Saccharomyces cerevisiae S288C: one gene and its partner. The protein of the gene in region 1 purifies or fractionates together with the protein of each later gene. This does not show direct contact. Each region holds a gene or a part of one and is shown on either strand. Other genes may lie near its edges.

Region 1 (6,835 bases):
GGGTTTTAAGCTAACTCTAGTCATTCCTTACTACATTTTATTGTAACTCTTCAGTAGAGCTAACCACAGTCATTCCTTAATATTTTTTAACACAGATCTCTTTCACAGAGTAGAAATAAAGCCACTCCTTTAACAAATTACAAAGAAATGAAATTTAATTTTTCTACAATTTTCAATATCTTATTCTTTTTATTCACCTTAATTGAAGCCAACAGCAATGGGGAAACAGTCAAACTTATTACTTCTGATGGTATTGTTTACAGTTATGCTGTCTACACAAAGACTCTTGCGCCGGCAAGGGTTGTGGTTAAAACGATTTCATATACTACTACAAGGGTATATCCGATTACTTTAGCTAATTCCGTCGTTTCTTCCACTACTGAAAAGATAACAGAGGTTTCAACGGTGTCAGCTTCAGAACAAGTTAGTGCTACTCAAACAAACTCATTGGTTTCTACTTCTACTGTTTCCACTATCAGTCCAACGATTTCATCTGGTTCTTCAACATCCTCTAGCTCTACATACGATATCGAATCATCTCAAAGTATCGAATCGTCAGGTACATCTTCCGCTACAGCCGAACCATCTGCGTCTTCAGGTTTTCGTTTGACTTCTAGTTCTGCTTTTGTTTCATCTACTGCACCTTTCTCTTCCCAACTTTCTTCATCTTCATCTTCTGAAACATCATCCTCATCATTTTCAACATCATCATCATCTGCCCCTCTTTCCTTAACTTCTTCTTCTTCTTCTTCTTCTTCTTTCGCCACTATTATTACCTTGGCACCATCGAGCTCAAAAAGCGGAAACTCTCAACTAACTTTGGCGTCATCGTCTTCCACTTCCGCAGTTGAGTCATCCCAAACAGGGTCCACTATAGCAAGAACTACCTCTACACTGGTACCCTCTTCTAGCGTAGATACAACGTCTAGAGCAACGACATCCATGCCATTAGAATCGTCTTCTACGCAATCGATATCCGTCTCCAGCTCGGATGGCACTTGTTACGTTTTTTATGATGATGATGACTACTATAGTACTGTCTACTTAACTAACCCGTCTCAATCCGTTGATGCCGCCACCACTATAACTAGTACAAACACAATTTATGCTACGGTTACCATTTAGCGCTTAGGCATAATGGTGGTGCATTCTTTTCTATTTGTTTTCTCAGGCGTATTTTTTCCATTATTTTTTGTTAAAAATAGTAAAAAGACAGTATTATTTATTCATTTTTCCTCGTGTTGTTATAACGACTAAGTTTCCTAATTTCTTTATTTTGTTTTTTTCTCATGATCTTTTCATTTTGTAGTTTCAACTATTATATACAATGTGTATACTATAACTTAATTTTATTAGTTACCTCTTACTAAGGATACTGATTCTTCCCCACTCATTTCATGAATTCATCACAAGTCTTTAGTATTTTTCATATGGAAATTACATCACCTATATATATCAAAATGTTCCGGCGAGTACATTGTCAGAATCTACAGTTTTTCCTGATATGAGCAGTGATATGGAGAAAGAGACACTAAATAAGAACAAAATATTGCCGTAGATTTAATGATTCAATCATGTGTGTCAAATTTGTTCTCCATTGCATCTTCCTATTTGACATTTGTCTCATGACCACGACATTGTACATTACCAGGTAAGGCTACAATTAGCCTCACCGATGTAACGTTATATAACGCTGCGGTCGTAGAATATGATTTTTCTGAATTTTAATTTTTTTTTTTTTTTTTTTCATTTCTTTAACATCTAAAATAGATTTTAGAATCAGAAAAGTGAAGAGTATTCCACATCATCGACTTATTCTACCAACATTTAATAAGAACGTACCCAAGAATAAAAGTCCACAAGTATAACAATGTCTCGCGAAGGGTTCCAGATTCCAACAAATTTAGACGCCGCAGCTGCAGGTACTTCTCAAGCTAGAACGGCAACTTTGAAGTATATTTGTGCTGAATGTTCTAGTAAATTATCTTTATCCAGAACTGATGCAGTCCGTTGTAAGGACTGTGGTCATAGAATCCTGTTGAAGGCTAGGACTAAGAGATTGGTTCAATTTGAAGCTAGATGAATGGAGAGACTGAAAACCATAATGGGTTACCGGGGCAGAATAATACGAAATAAAGAACCTAGGTTTTCCAAGGTTTTTGCAATATATAAACTTGTGCTTGATTTAAGTTTATGCAGCACTTTTCTTCCAGCAAATTCTTTATGTTTTTTTAAGGGAAAACGTATATCACTTAGAGATTATATTAATGAAAAAAGGTGTATACAAATGTATAATAATAATAGTATATAAGAAAAGTATTCGCTATTTATAGTGATTTTAGTTTGTACAATGTACTGTATTTTTTTTAAATGTAGTATTTTATATATATGTTACATTAGTTCGAACTGAAAAGGAACTTATGAATTAAATCATCACAATTCTTGGTTCTTCCGTAAAGCTGAATTGCCGGACGGTTATTCCCGCATTCTTCAAGACCTTGAAACTTTCCTCGTCCATTCTATAACTTTGGCTATAAACTACTTCACTGATGCCTGTTTGAACAATCTTTACAGAACATGTTAAGCAAGGGCAAGTATCACAGTATAAGGTCGCATTTTGACCTACACGATCCCTGCCAGCTTCCAGTAGTGCATTCTCTTCTGCATGTAAGCATAAGCAAGTGTGCAGATTTCTAGAATCACCGTCATTGCAACGTGGGCAACCGCCATTGAAACAATTTGTTAAATGTCGAGGAGTCCCATTATAGCCAGTAGCAATCACTCTGCATTCTCTCACAATCACGCAACCAACTCTACGTTTCATGCAATTGGAACGAGATGCTGCTAGTGTGGCTAACTTCATAAAATAGCTATCCCAACTAGGCCTCATTAATGGAGCCATTTGTTTCTCTTTGTCATCGAGAATCTTTAATTGTGTGGTAATGTTATTAATCAAGCTCTGTCTCCTTCCTCTGCGGTCCTCATTAACTATTTTAAATCTCAAATGGGATTTCTCCCTTAATTTGATGCCTTCAGGCTGAAAGTCATGTTGATCAATGGCTTGTATTATTTGTTCTAATGATAAGCTTTCTGCTTGAGTCGTTTTCCTGTATAATGCTACCCTTGTAGTGACAGGAGCGTCGATAGAAAGATGAACAAAAAATGGTCTCTTTTCCAGTTTCTCCAGTAATGATAATTTTTCTAGGAATATAACTGAATTTTTTGTGTAATTTTTCGTAGCATAATCTAATATCTCCTCTGGATTATCTAGGTGATTGAGTAATTCAAAATGAAAATGATCAACCAACATGTTAATAACATCTTCGCATCCGCAAAATTTCGTACCACTTACACCAATTAACATAATCGTGTTATATTGATTAGTGTAGCATTCACACCTTTAATGTGCCAAAAAAAGATGTTGAATTCTATGGTAATGCAGAAGTTTCAATTCTCGAGATTGCCTACATCATCTCATAACTGCGTACCGCGCGTTCTTGCAAAGAACAAAAAAGTGAAAAAATTATAATGGGGCGAGCTGGGAATTGAACCCAGGGCCTCTCGCATGCTTTGTCTTCCTGTTTAGGCAGGAAGTCGCCCAAAGCGAGAATCATACCACTAGACCACACGCCCATGTATCTGTTGGTGTTCTAAATAAAGAATTAAACTATGTAGGCATAAAAAGAGACGGGAGCATCTTAAAGATGCAACTGGATGGAGAATGGCAAAATATGAAGAAGAAGGAAGGAAAAGAAATATTATTATGCGTAACTGTTGATTCCTTTTTGTGGATTTCTTGAGGAGAATGTCTTTTTGAAGAGTGGGTGAATTTTGAGATAATTGTTGGGATTCCATTTTTAATAAGGCAATAATATTAGGTATGTAGAATGTACTAGAAGTTCTCCTCGAGGATTTAGGAATCCATAAAAGGGAATCTGCAATTCTACACAATTCTATAAATATTATTATCATCATTTTATATGTTAATATTCATTGATCCTATTACATTATCAATCCTTGCGTTTCAGCTTCCACTAATTTAGATGACTATTTCTCATCATTTGCGTCATCTTCTAACACCGTATATGATAATATACTAGTAACGTAAATACTAGTTAGTAGATGATAGTTGATTTTTATTCCAACACTTTTATATATTCTGTATTTGATGTTATAGCTTTATCAATTACAGAATGCCAAAAATTATCAAATTATTCACCAATATCCCAAATTTTAATGCAACCGTTATGATCCGACTATTGATAAAGGAAATTCCTATTCTACATAATGTTACTGGTATTTCTTCTTCCGTTTTTTATGTCGTCATTCGTCATCCTATTGCATTATCAATCTTTGCGTTTCAGCTTCCATTAAATTATGAAGATTATTTTTCAATCTTAAAGTCATCTTCTTACACTGGATATAATAATATACTAGCAGTATGAATATTAGTCGATAGACGATAGTTGGTTCTATTTCGACGGGTAATATTCTACTAATACCAATGACACTATTAATTTACCTAACAGAAATTCTTCTTCAATTGACCCTAGCGTTTGCCTTATTATCAAGACACTGAAGGTAAAGTTGCCGATAAACTTTTTGGGTTCCACTGTGCACCTATTTCTATGCTTCAATAAGCAGTTCCAGGTAAGGTTTCACCATTTCAACCCAAGTAAATGCTATGTAGTTATAATATTAATTAATGTGTTCTACTGGTTTTTCTGTGCATAAAAAAGACGCTCTGACGCCATTTATCTTGGTGTGTTACCCGTTAGGAAAAGTGGCGTTGCTAAAATTGTTGAAACCCGATCTCATCGCCTGGTAAACAATACAAACAAGGATTTGAACAAGGTTTTATCATTTTCTGATACGTTTTTTGTACTTACAAAATAAAAGATACAAAAATCACTAAGAAAACTAATCTATCAATAAAAATGAGTAGTGAACTCATGTTCAACTATACTTTTAGCTGGCCTGCTGGTCCAAAAGATGTTATTTTAACAGGAACGTTTGATGACTGGAGGGGCACTTTACCCCTCGTGAAGACCGCCAAGGGAAATTTCGAAATTACTATGCCCGTGAAGCTAGCCAACAAGGATGATACGTTTCAGTTTAAGTTTATTGTGGATGGCGTTTGGTGCGTTAGTGATTCGTATAAAAAGGAGCATGTTAGTGAAGGAATCGAAAACAATTTCTTACAAATTACCGATTTAGTTGAAACGCAGGAAGTTGCCGGTGCCAGTAGAATCCCGGAGGCAGGTGGCCTATTATGTGGTAAACCGCCTCGTTCAGCAGGTCCTCCTTCTACAAGTAATAGAAAGAAAAACAAGCGTAACAATAAGAAAAGAAGATCTAAATTGAAGAAAAAGAGTACTAAGAACAACAAGAAGTCAAATGAAAGTTTAGACGATAATGAAGAAGAAGACGGGGTGACTGGAACTACTACTGAAGATGTTACTGGAACCTCTAGGGAAGAAACTCCATTGGCGGAGCCTACTAATGTTTCCAAAGAAGCTCCGGGCAATTTCCATATTCTGCCAATCGATCAAAGTGCAGACACAACTCAATCAAATGGTATAATTGGTGGACCAGGTCCTGTTCTTGTCCCAAACCCTGGTGAAATCAAGGAATTTACCGAAATTAGAGACGTTGATGCTAGGGAATTGAATGAAAGACTTAACAAAAAAGAAGAGGTTCCAGAACCCGTTGCTGGCCCTATTGTTGAATCATCAGTTACGGAAAAGAGTCCTGCTCTTCCACAAGCTGACGACCCGATTGTTGAGACCAAGGAAGTGGCTCATAATGTGCAGGAACTTACTCCTCAAGTGGAAGCGGTTACTCCGTTAATAAATGAGCCCGAACCATTACCAACTCCGGAAGCACAAATATCTATACCTGAGTCATCGAAAGTTGAACCAGTGGAGGGGTCTCTTCAATCTAAGTTGGTGGAGAAACGTGAGTCCACTGAAGGTGTATTAGACGGTTCCAAAAAAGTAGAAAATAAGGCAAAAAAAGATGAAGAGGTCTTTACATTAGACCCCATCGTTAACAAAGCTCCCAAGCTACCCTTGACTGACGAGCAAACAGCTGAAGGTAGAAAATCACCAGCAGTGTCAGAAGAAAAAGAAAAGAAAAAGAAGCAAGAAAAAGGCTCTAAAGAGGTCAAGAGGTCAGAAACCAGTAAAGAAAAAAAGCCTTCTGCCAAAGAGGTTAAGAAACAAACTGTAAAAGCCCCAAAGAAACAGACAGCTTCTCCTTTGTCTTCTTCGACAGAAGAGCCCAAGAAGAAGAAAACTGGTTTCTTCGGCAAATTGAAGAAGCTATTTAAGTGAATTATCTAAGGATTGGTCTCATGTTGCCGAATCATAGAAATATAAGAAAAAAATTAAAAAAAAAAAGAAAGAAAGTATAATACTAATATTGGCAATAATGCTAACACATTACTAATAATAGCAATAATATTAATAATAATAATAATAATAATAAATTATAATAATAGCAGTAATAAAAATATCAAATAATAATAATAGTAATAGTAGTAGTAGTAGTAGCAGTTGTAGTAATGATAATAATAATATAATAATAATATAATAATAGTATAATAATAGTATAAGTAGTTGTAGGTAAAAATCTTTGATTTATCTTATCTGGTTGCAATGCTTCTCCCCTCTGATGCCTAATATGTCTATCTTTATCCTATACCAATTGGCAGGGGAGCAATCATAATTTACATTAATATCGTCCACCATACCCTGAAATTCCAAAAGAGTTCGAGAAATTGGAAGGTACAGCATTTCATTTACTCACTTATTTGATCTTTTCTTTTGTTTTC
Region 2 (3,992 bases), on another chromosome or scaffold:
TCGGCGTCCACTTTGTAATAGCAGTGATGAGATTTGGCAATATTTTCTGCATAAACCCTGTTTCTATGGCAAAACCCAGATTGCGCACACTTCTTTAATAGATAGTCGGTAAACGCATGCGAAAAAGCGGTAAAGAAGACCAATTGGCATACGAGCCATTTCAAAAGGACCATGTTGCATACGGTTGATTCGAGACCGCTATTTTAAGATACGCAGAGCAATCAAATAACTCCAAGCAACATGTTCATTGAGTTATAGCTCTCAAGTGCCGTAGTGAGAAAATGTCGTGGTCCGGGTAAAACAAATTAAGGGTACTTGAAATGAAAAAAGAATGATAGTAGACAGAAAAGCTATTATATTATAGAAACTTATCACTTGACCGATGAAGAGGAAAGCACGTTTCCTTACAAATAAATCAGCAGTAATAGTTATAAAAATATATGTATATAAAGTGTGTGAGTGTGTGAGTGTGTGAAAGGATGTTATTAAATAGTATGTTATTATTTCTTGTCGTATCTGGAGTAGTATTTCTTTGAAATTATACCGTCCAGCGTCAAAAGACCCAGAGCGCCGGCGGTTGTTGCTAAGACTGTAGAGTTAGGTTTCCCCTTCAAGAATCTGGCGTTGTGGTTCGCATACCCGTTACATAAATAACATACCACTGAAGAATGCAGCAACAAGTTGACCAAGACAACGGGATTCTGAAGTTCTAAAAAGCATACTTTGGCAAAGTCTTGCGTCTTACTGACAAAAGCTTGGAGGTAGCCGCAAGCGACTGCTGATGCACTATTTAACCGTGCCTTCAGATATTCGATAGCGCATTCCTTCTTATTGTTGTGGTGGTGACCGTCTTCAGAGTCAGAATTTGGGCTAGCGTTACTGTCGTGTTTAGCACTGGGGAAAAGAAAGATGGTCATAGATGATATACGTTAGTCAAAAGAGAACCGGGAGAAAAGATTAGGCGATACGTTTCAGATATTAGTGTACATACGTTGCAGACATATTATGAGATGCTGGAGGTAGATGTTATGTTTCTAATTGTTGGAATAGGGTTACGTCGGCGGTTTCGGTTGAAGTGGGCACATTGATCGACACTTTATATACGCAGGGACGATTAACGGGAGAGGAGGTAGCGGCGGCGTCATTGGCCGCTGGCCCGGGGTAGTAGGGCAGGGAAAGGGGACGGTGAAAAAATAAAACGTAAGTGGGACAGCAGAGATTTGAGGAGTTGAGGCAAGAACAGAGGAGAGAACGAGAAAGCGGATAAGCAACAAAGGAAAAGGAAACAAGTAAAAAAAAAAAAAGAGACTAGCATGAGAAACGAATTATACCAGTTATGGTGTGTGGCGAGTGCAGCAAGAGGGGTAGCCAAGAGCTCATTCGTAAGGGCCAATTCGGCCATGTGTGAGTACGTGCGCACGTCCAACGTCTTGAGTCGCTGGACTCGGGACAGGCAATGGGAAGCAGCTAAGGCCCTATCACAACGGGTCAAGAAAGAGTATGCCGCCAATTAGTGCACACACATACATATATTTTATATACTTACATATTTGGTTGCGTGGTATATAGAATCTCTCCTTTCGCTTCATGAATGAACTCATTCATGCGAAGTCAAAGGAAAAAAAAAATAAAAAAATAAAAGAGCGAACGGGAAGACGAGAGAAACATCAAGCGACCAAAGTAAAAGTCAAGAACGACTCCACAAGTGCGAGGGTCGCGACGTCTCTAACTTTAAAAACAGGCGTCAACCATCAAGTCCGTTTCTTGATGCCGCCGGCATTCTTCAAATCCCTCCAAAAAAAACGCCTCTATGACATAGGCGGTTAATAAAACTGGCCTTGAAACAACAGATGCAGTCATGGCTCTTCTCTTTTCCCAGCAAACGCCTTCCATTGCCTCCTTTTTTTCTCTTCCAGAACTCTCTCAGCAGTATTCTCACAAACACATCTCCTCCCCTTTAGCAAACCTCCATTTATATCCTGCGAGAAGAGCTCCTTCTCCTCAATGAGAAAATAAGCACAAAATAAACTGGGAAAAAAAATATAGTAAAAGACGCCAGCACGTTAACAATGGAACACTCTTATTGTAGACCAACCCCACCCTACACCCCCTCAAACCGAGGACACTTCAAAAGGAAAATCAACAACTTTGGCCGATACTTGGGGGATAAGCAAGCTTATCCTATTACATCAAAAAAAGAATCGTAAGACACCTTTCCTTGCAAACCAAAAATCATAACAAAGTCGAAAAACTTCCTCTTGCAGCGCCACCAGAAAAAGAAGACGAGCGAAGAAATCAACAATAAGAGCGCCCCATCCGCACTAGCACCCCATACCATAAATATTATCTCCCAACCTACTATAGCACCATTTCTTCCCATCGATAAAGAAAAACCAAATCCCGCGTTGGACATAAACGGCTCGGAAAGACAGGGAAGAGTATGAAGCAAAAAGCCAAACTAAGGGAGAAACAGAAAGCTAAAAAAAAGAAAATAGAAAACAACCAGAAGAAAACAAAAACAATAACCTTGAGCAACCGTCGTCTCAAAAACCAATTTCGAAAAACCATCATAAAAACGCCTTATGAAGAAACCATGAGCGAAGAAAAATAGCAGCAAAAAGTAGTGAGACCTGACATTAGCGGAAAACAACTTGCTTAAAAAGTCTCTTCCCGTCCATTTTATTATTTTGGGTGCCAAAAAATGTGTATTGTAACAAATTAAAAGGTAATGAGCCTCATTGAGGTCATTTCAGTTGTTACACTGAAAAGAACAGATACTACACTTGATCTAAGCCAAAAGGCAAAGAGATTCGTGGGGATTTAAAAAAAAAACAAGTAGAAACAAAATGAATAAATCTGATAACAAGTAAAGTACTCATCGATGAAAAAATGAATGTAGAGCCCTTTTTATATGTTTTCACCGAGTGGCCCATCGGAAACGGCAAAAAAAAAAAAAGAAAGAAAAAAGAAAAGAAACATAGAGCGTTGCTAGGTTTTTTTTGCCACCCACACCCATACACCCCATTACTTTGTCTGCAGCATCGTTATACACGTAGTGAAAGTGTGCAGGCCTCGGCGGTTAAAAAAATTTGAGCAGAAAAGCATGTTATTTAATACATGTAATATTTGTCTATGAAGCTTCGCTATCCTGCTGCAACTGCTGAGCAAGTTGTTGCCGGCGCAATTCTTTGTATCTCTCGTCCTCTGCAGACCCGACCCGCTGCAGAAATTCTTGCCGGGCCAAGAACCCATCCTTGTTGTGCAGCACCAATTCGTCGTTAAGTCCAGCACGGTCTACATAACTAGCCCAGTCCAGCTGAGATTTTTCTAATGTCGTTAGCTTGGGTCGTAGCCCGCCAGAAATGATCTGCTCCAACAATGGAGGCCTTTTCAGTGGCCGTCGCAAGTGTTGCCGGCTTTCATTGGACTTGGTCCTAACTGCTTTTTCCAGTTGAACAGGAGCAGCAGGCGCCTGCTGCTTAAATTTCAAACTGTTTAGATATTCTTGACCCTCCGCACTGCTGCGTGAAACCCATTTTTTCTCATGGACAGTTTCACCAGCAAACTTGTAGTTTCTTTCGATGAGGATTTTGTCCTCCTGTTGCGCGGCCGTTGTCGACCTAGCCTCCTTGGAACCGTCGAGAACAGAGCCGACTTTCCCTGAACTGCTCAAAAGACGGTTCTTACTAGCTTCCTGTAGCTCCTCCCAGATGCTGTTTACTTTTGCAGGGATCGATTCAACAGTTAACGATTCATACTTATGTGTTTTCGCATATTCTTCCTCAGCTTGCCGAGCTCTTCTAGTCTTGATCAGTCCGCCGCTCTCGCTCTCTATACGCGAATAGTCCACTTTATTTCTACCCTTATCTCTGTTCACACCGTCATCATAGTCGTCACCGCCATCGCTGGCATCACTATCGTCGCTACCACCACCTAATTTATCTTTTTCAGGCTGGAAGTCCTCGTCCTCCTCTTCTATGTAGCCGTCCTCG

Evidence for each region. Proteins that work in one complex are often made in the same cells at the same time.
Region 2: the proteins of CRP1 (region 1) and OM14 purify together in Saccharomyces cerevisiae (affinity purification with mass spectrometry, with the first as the bait; one large-scale study listed by BioGRID). This does not show direct contact.

The regions. Positions count from the first base shown.
Region 1 is NC_001140.6:385,363-392,197, forward strand, and holds CRP1 (Crp1p), read left to right. Parts: upstream 1-4,937; coding exon 4,938-6,335; downstream 6,336-6,835. Other genes in the region: DSE2 (Dse2p), read left to right, coding at 148-1,125; DNA-directed RNA polymerase core subunit RPC10, read left to right, coding at 1,871-2,083; DCD1 (deoxycytidine monophosphate deaminase), read right to left, coding at 2,426-3,364.
Region 2 is NC_001134.8:679,049-683,040, forward strand, and holds OM14 (Om14p), read right to left. Parts: upstream 1,003-3,992; coding exon 992-1,002; intron 895-991; coding exon 501-894; downstream 1-500. Other genes in the region: glucan 1,3-alpha-glucosidase ROT2, read right to left, coding at 1-173; COQ21 (Coq21p), read left to right, coding at 1,314-1,514; SWC5 (Swc5p), read right to left, coding at 3,131-3,992.